Linked DNA regions of Coturnix japonica. The protein of the gene in region 1 interacts with the protein of each later gene in a biochemical or structural test. Links are inferred from orthologs where the notes say so. Each region holds a gene or a part of one and is shown in the gene's direction. Other genes may lie near its edges. The genes, in order: ZHX1 and NFYA.

Region 1 (4,496 bases):
TTACAGACATTTGGTGAGGATTTTGCAGATGACTGTGGTGATGTGCAGTCTCAAAAATCAGCTTACAGAGCAGTGCTGTGTGATAGCTGTGGATGAACGCTAATGTCTTTGGCCTGAAGAAAAAATGTGTGAGGTTAAGAACAGCATCTGCTGTCCACGTTATCAAAATTAAAGATTGTGTTTGGAGCAGAAATGGTATTTTTTTCCCTTTCTCACTTCTTTACTCTTCTTTTGACACTGCTTTCTTTTAAGATTCTGTCATGAGCAAAGCTGTCTTTCTGTTTTTAACCTGTTACATGCTGTTACCTTTATAAACCTTCTGAAACAGCTGCTTGAGTCTTCCTTTTGCACTTGAGCATGCCATTGCTCTGGGAAGTAGGTGATGTTCTGCTATATAAAAATTCATGAATCTATGGGATTTCTGGCTTGAGCAATCAGTGTCTCATTTTGTTTTAAGAAGGAAACTGTTACAGAGTTTATAACCCTTTTCAGTAGCTTGTGCATCATTTCCAATAGACTAGTTGTGGTCCCCATGGGATAACAGCTCACTCCACTCTGGGCAATTTAAGAACATATTTATTCTCTGAATTTATGTAGGCCTCAAATTTAATTTGTACTTCAGTAGTTTTTTTCTTATAAATGAAGTAGGAATTCTGAATAGAAAATATATAATTTTCTTTGGCTTCTGCCTACTGTGTCACTCTTTAATGCCTTTTCTCTAGTGAAGTTTGCATGGTCAGTCTTGTCCCCATTAATGCACGGAGCTATGAAAACAATGTAGTTAATTACCACATGCTAACAATTTATTGGTCTGGGATTGGCCTTCAATTGGAGAATGACATCTGGGGAGCTAGGAAGAGAGGTCTGCCATCCCTGTCTTGTGGAGTGCCTTAACAAGGCGTTGTTTCGTCTCTTTTCAAACTTGGGAGAAATGACCCAGGGCATGCATACATGTATGTACATAATGCAGTAGAAAAATATGCTAAGCGTTCATTTTCTAGGAGCCTTCACACCCTTGGGCATAGCAGACAAGACCATCACGGGGATGCCATGCTGAGTTTGTGATGGGAAGGACTTGAGCTTCTATTGCAGCTGAAAGAGTGTTGTAGCCTAGATAAAGCAGTCCAAGGGTAAGACTGCCAAAATTTGTAGGGAAACAGAAGATTATATTTTCTGTGCCATTCTCTGTCTTATGCCTTTTGTTGCATTCATTGCATAAATTTGAGCTGATAATAAGTAAGTTGGAATTTGCCTTTCTTACTCTAGCCTTGAGGATCAGTCTCTTCTTGGAATGGGTCTGCTGGTTTCAGGGGTGAACAGTGGCAGATTGAACACCAAAGGGTTGAATTAAATCATACTGTGTGTCAGAATAGAAGATACTCTTTAAATTGAACTAATTATACTGTCTCTTCTTTGCTACAGGTGGTGGATGTGGACTTTAAAACAGTGTCTCAACATTTCATCCTCAACTGTCTCTTTTTAATCTGATTGCACTACAAAAGAAAAGCTGCTAATGGGATAAATGTTGAGACGTTACAAGAACTGACTTGAAGTACCAAAAGCCATTATTATTAATCAAGAAGAGCTTGAAGCTAAGTCTGTATCTGACCAGTCAGTATCACTTTCACCTAACAGGCATGGCAAGTAAACGAAAATCAACAACACCGTGCATGGTCTTGGCCAACGAGCAAGATCCGGATCTCGAAATGGTATCAGACTTGGAGGAAGGACCACCTGTAGTCAAGCCAGCAGATAATAATCCTACAGCAGAGAGCATAGCAAGCGAAGAGGATGTCCATGAGAACGTGGATTCAGACAATCAGAAAAATACAAATAAAGTAGAAGGTGGTTATGAGTGTAAATACTGTTCTTTTCAGACTCCAGATCTCAATATGTTTACTTTCCATGTGGACTCAGAACATCCCAATGTAGTATTAAATTCATCCTATGTCTGTGTAGAATGCAATTTTCTCACCAAAAGATACGATGCTCTCTCAGAACATAATTTGAAGTATCACCCTGGAGAGGAGAATTTTAAGTTGACCATGGTGAAACGTAATAATCAGACAATCTTTGAACAAACAGTAAATGATCTCACTTTTGATGGGAGTTTTGTTAGAGAAGAAAATGCTGAACAGGCTGACCCTTCTGAGCCCCCCTCCGCTGGGATCTCCATTAGCAAAACTCCTATTATGAAAATGATGAAAAACAAAACTGAGACTAAACGCATTGCTGTTTTCCACAATGTAGTCGATGGCATTCCTGGTGAAGAGAAGGGAAAGGAAAATGAGCCAAACTCTGAAGAAGTAGTAGAAAACCCACCACTGGCAGTTTCTGAGTCCAAAGCGAGCCATTCGGTTGCTTGCAGTGCGGCCGATGTAGCTAGTACGGTTGTGACCCCAGTGATTCAGCCTGGGGTGGCACAGGTTATAACGGCTGTTACAGCTCCACAGAACTCAAACCTGATCCCCAAAGTCCTGATACCTGTAAACAGCATTCCAACCTATAATACTGCTTTGGACAACAATCCTCTTTTGCTCAACACCTATAACAAATTCCCATATCCAACCATGTCAGAGATCACTGTTCTTTCCACTCAAGCTAAGTACACCGAGGAACAGATTAAAATCTGGTTTTCTGCCCAGCGTCTGAAACATGGTGTGAGCTGGACACCAGAGGAAGTGGAGGAAGCAAGGAGGAAACAATTTAATGGCACAGTGCATACTGTGCCACAGACAATTACCGTTATTCCAGCGCATATTTCCGCTGCCAGCAATGGTTTACCTTCAATTTTACAGACATGCCAAATAGTTGGTCAGCCAGGACTTGTTCTCACTCAAGTTGCAGGTGCAAATACGTTACCAGTAACAGCCCCAATAGCTTTGACTGTAGCAGGAGTCCCAAACCAAACCCAGTTACAGAAGAGTCAGATTCACACTGCTCAGCCTATTGCAGAAACCAAACAAGTTGCTGCCGTTCCAGCCCCTCAGCCTATCAAAAATGAAACCGCACACATGAATCCCGATAACTTTGGCATGCGAGCAAAAAAAACAAAGGAGCAACTGGCAGAATTAAAGGTCAGCTACCTTAAAAATCAGTTTCCTCAGGATTCAGAAATTAGTAGACTTATGAAAATAACAGGCCTGACTAAGGGAGAGATCAAGAAGTGGTTCAGCGATACACGCTACAATCAGAGAAACTCAAAGAATAACCATGGGATCCATCTCAACAGTGACTCATGTGCCACCATCATTATTGACTCCAGTGACGAAATGAATGAGTCTCCAACAGGAGTTGTTCCACAGAACAAGTCGTCCTGGAGTGCATTTCCTGACTTCACCCCACAGAAATTCAAAGAGAAGACAGCCGAGCAGTTGCAAGTCCTCCAAGCAAGTTTTCTTAATAATCCTGTCCTTACTGATGAAGAGATGAATAGGTTAAGAGCCCAAACCAAACTTACCAGGAGAGAGATTGATGCCTGGTTTACAGAAAGAAGGAAATCTACTGTCTTAAAGGAGGAGGGGACTGAGATGAATGAGAGCAATGCCAGCAGCTCAAAAGAGGAAGCTGCGGGAGAAACATCTGTGGGAGATGGAGCAGCAGGGTCAAAATCAGGGAGCACCGCTTCAAGCAAAGTAGGCAAAAAATCACCAGAGCAGTTGCACATGCTTAAAAGTTCTTTTGTCCGTACTCAGTGGCCATCTCCACAGGAGTACAACAAGCTGGCAGAAGAAACGGGGCTCCCGAGATCAGAAATTGTGAGTTGGTTTGGAGATACTCGCTATGCCTGGAAAAATGGGGGATTGAAGTGGTATTATTACTACCAGAGTGCCAATGCAAACAGTCTGAATGGCCAAGGCTTTTCAAGGAAGAGAGGGAGAGGAAGACCAAAGGGGCGGGGAAGAGGGAGGCCTCGAGGGAGGCCTCGGGGAAGCAAGAGGTTAAATTGCTGGGACCGAGGTGTGTCTGTCATAAAATTCAAAACTGGAACAGCAATCTTGAAGGACTACTATATGAAGCACAAATTCCTTAATGAGCAAGACCTTGATGAACTCGTAGCTAAATCTCACATGGGGTATGAGCAGGTCAGAGAGTGGTTTGCAGAAAGGCAGAGAAGATTAGAACTCGGAATAGAGCTGTTTGAGGAAAACGAGGAGGAAGATGAAATGCTGGAAGATCAGGAAGATGAAGAGGAAACGGATGATAGTGATACTTGGGAACCCCCACGACATGTTAAGCGTAAACTTTCAAAATCAGATTGATGTGCAGTTTGGAATCTGGGAGCCAAAAACCTGTGAGTTAGGTTTGATGTTATGGTGAAGAGCCAAACAATTTTTCATGGCCTTCAGCTTCAGCAAGCACCTGCTTAGCATCTTCGTTGCACCTGAAGGAACGTGGGCAAGATGCTGTCTGCGCAGGCAACAGATATTTGCTTCCTTGCTACCAGAGATGGATGTCCTTGGGCCTAGCTGAGCATGTGGGGTTATAAATCAGCG
Region 2 (4,589 bases), on another chromosome or scaffold:
CAGGGGAGCATTTGAGTCATTCTCTACTCTTACCAGGTAGTAAATATACCGGTCATCTCTTTGGAGAACTGCCACCTCCCCAGTCTTCTTTTCTAAAGGGAAAAAGGTGCTATTTTAGGAACAGTTACAGTCCTGCTGTGCAACTGACCCTGAAACCCTGGTAGCAACCTTCAAAGCTGGAAATCTTAGTCCTTAAAATCCCACGATGGTACAAAATTACTCACGTTGATCTAACAGCTCTTGGACGCCTCCAAACTTCTTCTTAAACAGGACAGCGATGCCTGCACCCATCCGACAGTCCTCACTGATGCAATGAGCCAACGCGTCCGTTGGGGGGCAGGAAAACAGGTCTCCTTTAACACACTTGATCTAGAAAGCAAACACAGGTGTGAAAGCTGAGTGCTGGCCACGATAACAGAACATCCATGTTAAACCAGTCTGTACAATGCTATCTATTTGGTAGTGCGTTTAATATGTAGATTATAAACTCAATATAGTGATATCTTTTACAGGATCAGATATATGAGAAGCACACTGCAGCTATGCCAGCACCACACACTGCCAGACACTTCAACACCTGAGCTCTGTGCTGATGCCAAGTAACAGCATCACTGATATAAGCCCAACAGCACTTTATTATCTGTCCCAAAAGCTACATGGTCCAATCTGCTGCCAATATGAGGCAGGGATGTCCCAGCACACACAGCAGCAGCCCATAGAACCCTTGTATTATGTACTACGCACTCGCTCGCCCTGCTCCTGGACGTGGGTGGCCATGGTGGTGCGGGCTGTGAAGGCTCCTGCGGCTGGAAAGATGGCGGAGAGAAGAACAGAGTTAATGGAAACCACGGGCTGGGAACGAGGCCGTGTGTGCGCAGGGCTGGGCCTTCACCCAGCAGGGTTAGAGCCGACAATACAGCCGATATGGGGGAAGAACGATAAGGGGAAGCAGGGCCCCAGTGTCCCACAAGGTAGGCCCGGCCAGAGCCCACAGGCCACGTGTTGCTCTCCAGGCCACCCCAGCCCGCTGTAGGCCCCCTCAGCACACACGGCCCACCCGCGGGCACGACGTGAACGACGGGCCGCCCAGCCCGGGCCTGCACGGCGGTGAGCCCGGCCAGCCTGGTGAGCCGGCCCAGCACGGCCCGCATCGCTCCGTCACCTCCACTGCCACACTGCGGCGTCACGTCAAAATGGCCGCCACCACCACCCGCTACCCAGCCCCTCTAGGCAGCCTGGAGGAACGCCGCCTCTATGGTACCCGCCGAGAACATTCCGCAGACCAACCTACCGCCCGAGGGCGCATGCGCGAGACCCTCAGAGGCGGAACCTACAGATCACGTGACGGGATGAGGGCGGAGCCGCGGCGGCGCGTGCGCAGTGCGGGCGTTGGCGGCCCCGCGAGGCACTCGCACCCCTTTGTGCGCATGCGCATTGTGCGCGGGCGGGCGGGCCGCGGGTGGGCGGGGCCATCCGGAGCGAGCGGCACACTGCGCATGCGCCGCCCGCGCCCGCCCCCTCCCCTGCCTTTGTTCGGGGTTGGGCGCCATTTTAACGCGGCGGGCGAGTGCGGGCGCTGATTGGGTTTCGGGGTCCGGTAGCGGAGCCAATCAGCGCGGGACCCGAACCGGGGGAGCGAGGCACGGTGAGTGCGAGCAGCCAATATGGAGCAACCGAGCGGCGGAACCAGCGCCGGGATTGGCGGGACACAGTGACCAGTCAGGAGGCCGCGTGTAGGGCCGGGCTGGGGGGGAACCAGGGGACGGGGCCGAGGGGGAACGGGGGGAAACGGGCGGAGAGAAGGAACGGGCGGAGAGAGCAACGATCGTTGGGCCGAGGGATGGAGGAGGAGGAGGCGGCCAGGCCGGGGCCGCTGCTTGGGGCCGGGCTCCGTGCGGGGCTGCGGGACCGCGGGAGGCAGCGCCCCGCCCTCGAGACGGGAGAGCAGCACCACACGGTGACACATAACACATGGAACGGGTGAAACGGGCCGACCCGCTGATACAGCACACACCGGGTACACACAGCGGGGACACGGCCAACATGGAGCACAATAGTGCTCGGTGCGGGCAGCTGGAGCTGTGGGATGAGCTGTGGGGGAGCACACACTGAACCATAAGGCTGAGCTTTGGGATCCTGCTTTGATAGAGTAACACTAGTGCTTTATTTCAATGAAGGGATCCCTTGGAGGGCTGCGATCTGCACATGTGAAACGTTCAGCTCCCAGCCACAACCTGCACACCTGGATTCAGTGCTACCTTATGTTATAGAGACAGGCCTGACACAAGAGAAAACACTTTCCAATAGAAGCATCCTTTAATTTGTGATTTGGTGCTGGGAGATGTTGCAGATAGAGCTTAGTGGTGTCCTGTGCTTGTTACTGAGCAGCTTCCCTGCAGAATGAGCTGCTTCCTGCTGGGCCCACAGGCAGCGATGGTAGCAATTAAATATGCTGTGCAGAATTCAAATGGAGGCTTTGATAGGCAGCAGCATCTGCAGAGGGAAGAGAATAAAGCATCTTCTGGTAGGCAGTGAGAAACCATTGCTAAGTGAGCACGGATGGGGCTGATGCTGCATCAGAGTGCAGGGCCTTCCTTTGCTGCGACTCAGGCTATCACTGATGTCCAGGCTTAGTATCACTGCATCAAAGTTCTGACCCAGAGTCTCAATTCTTACATTATATTTTATATCTAAGCTTTGTTTTCTGTTCTGAAGTCAGGTGACATTAACAAAGGAAGGGCTGCAATTAGACCATGGCTGTTAATCAGAGTGTGCTCAAGGCACTACCTCCATGTTAGCAGGTGCTTTGCTTTTCAGCTGCTGTAGGTCACAACAACCTTCAGACATTGGGACAATAATCACGTGGGTTTTTTTCTCCTTTCTTGCCAGGTCCACAGACTGCGCTGTGCCTTGGTCAGCCTTGGAACTGAAGCGGGATGGAGCAGTACACAGCCAACAGCAACAGCTCCACAGAGCAGATCGTTGTGCAGGCGGGGCAGATCCAGCAGCAGGTATGGGCAGTTACAATGGTCGAGCTGCTGTTGGTGGGTTACAGACCTTCACAGTTGCAAAGAACCAGCGGGACACTCTGTGATCCCCTCTGAGTTTACCTGAGTTCTGTCACTACAAGAAATCAAAATGAGCACAAGAATTGCAAAAAATGACTAAAAGCCAGGACCACTAAGCATGTAGCTTTGGAGGAGTTCATCCGTGCCAGACAGATCGAGTTTATGTGTTGGAACACACAAGTTGTTTGGCTGGTTTGGGTTCGGTTTTAAGGCTTGTAGGTTTTCAGTTAAGTTTCATCCACTCACACTGATTCCAGCAGGTAACCAAAGATGTATTTGATGTTATTGGTATCTTCAAAGTAATAGAGGTGAACACATTCACTGACCTGTTTCATTTTAAGTACGTGCTCCCAAACACGGTGATTTGCTGCGTGTGAAATGTTTTTCTAAGTGATTTTTTCCACTTGAAGCCAGTTGTAAAGCCTTCAGGAGAGAGGCCGCCCTTCGTCTCTCAAAATGCTAACACGGTTATCATTGATTATTTTGGGACTCTTACTAAGGAGGCTAAAGATAGACGAGGCTTTTAGATTGAACTGCTCTTGCAACATCTCAAGATCGTCCTTCAAGGTCAGTGGTGGGAAGACATAGATGGAGGGATGACACAGATGAACTCAGCAGCACAGCAGACTCTTCCTTGCAGGAAGGAACGTGTGGTACTTGTTGTAACCAACAAGTCGCAATTTTGGAAGCCTTTCACAAGACGTCTGAGCAGTGCAAGGAAACATGGAGCACACAGACAGCAGCAGAGAATTTAGTTCCTGCAAAATGACCTCTCCTGTGTTTTGTAACCAACTTGTGTTTGGAATGTTGAAGCTCATCAGTGTGATGTGCAGATTTGCCAGCATTCCGCCCTTAGATTCGTTAACTCACGTTCTGTGTGTTCCAAGAGCAGCGTATGTGAATTGTAAAATTCATCCTCGTCAGCAAAGTGTGGTTGTGTCTGGTGTGAGCTGTGCATTTCCCTGTTTCAAGCTCTTCCTGTTCCTGTTCCCAGCAGCAGGGTGGTGTCACTGCTGTCCAGCTGCAGACTGAGGCCCAGGTGGCATCCGCCTCAGGCCAGCAAGTCCAGACCCTCCAGGTAGTGGTGACCTCTCTAATTGTGTTTGTGAGCACTGCATGACTCTCCATCACCACATATCTAATGCTGTGTTTTTTACAGGGTTTCAAATAGGGATGGGAAAATTGTTGGCCAATACTGTGTGCTTGATGTGAGGCTTCCCATCAGGTTATAGCTTTTCATTGGATCACAGGTGCATTCATGAATTCCAGCTGTTGTAATTCAGAAAGCAAATAGTGGATGAAATGGGAGTCAAAAGGGAAGAAACTCACCGAGATCATGAAGTCAAGAGACACAGCTTTAAAGAGATACAGCTTAAAGATTTTCTGTACTTCCAAGATTACATTTCTGATACTCAGTGTGAGTAGTTCTGCAGGTTTCATTCCTACATGAAAGGAGATAGAGAGGTAGGGGGTGACCCACCAGCATGAAGAGAGAAACTTTTTTATCTGTAATTGGAAAAG

Evidence for each region.
Region 2: the proteins of ZHX1 (region 1) and NFYA form a complex in vitro, tested with the Homo sapiens proteins (2 studies listed by BioGRID). The link is inferred for Coturnix japonica from reciprocal best matches to the Homo sapiens genes ZHX1 and NFYA.

Annotation. Positions count from the first base shown.
Region 1 is NC_029517.1:124,384,904-124,389,399, reverse strand, and holds the start of ZHX1 (zinc fingers and homeoboxes protein 1), read left to right. Parts: upstream 1-1,422; 5' UTR 1,423-1,637; coding exon 1,638-4,262; 3' UTR 4,263-4,496. UniProt on the Homo sapiens protein: Acts as a transcriptional repressor. Increases DNMT3B-mediated repressive transcriptional activity when DNMT3B is tethered to DNA. May link molecule between DNMT3B and other co-repressor proteins.
Region 2 is NC_029541.1:4,499,891-4,504,479, forward strand, and holds the start of NFYA (nuclear transcription factor Y subunit alpha), read left to right. Parts: upstream 1-1,507; 5' UTR 1,508-1,733; intron 1,734-2,889; 5' UTR 2,890-2,936; coding exon 2,937-3,011; intron 3,012-4,062; coding exon 4,063-4,149; intron 4,150-4,589. Other genes in the region: ADP-ribose glycohydrolase OARD1, read right to left, coding at 34-92, 225-369, 745-806, 1,058-1,151. UniProt on the Homo sapiens protein: Component of the sequence-specific heterotrimeric transcription factor (NF-Y) which specifically recognizes a 5'-CCAAT-3' box motif found in the promoters of its target genes.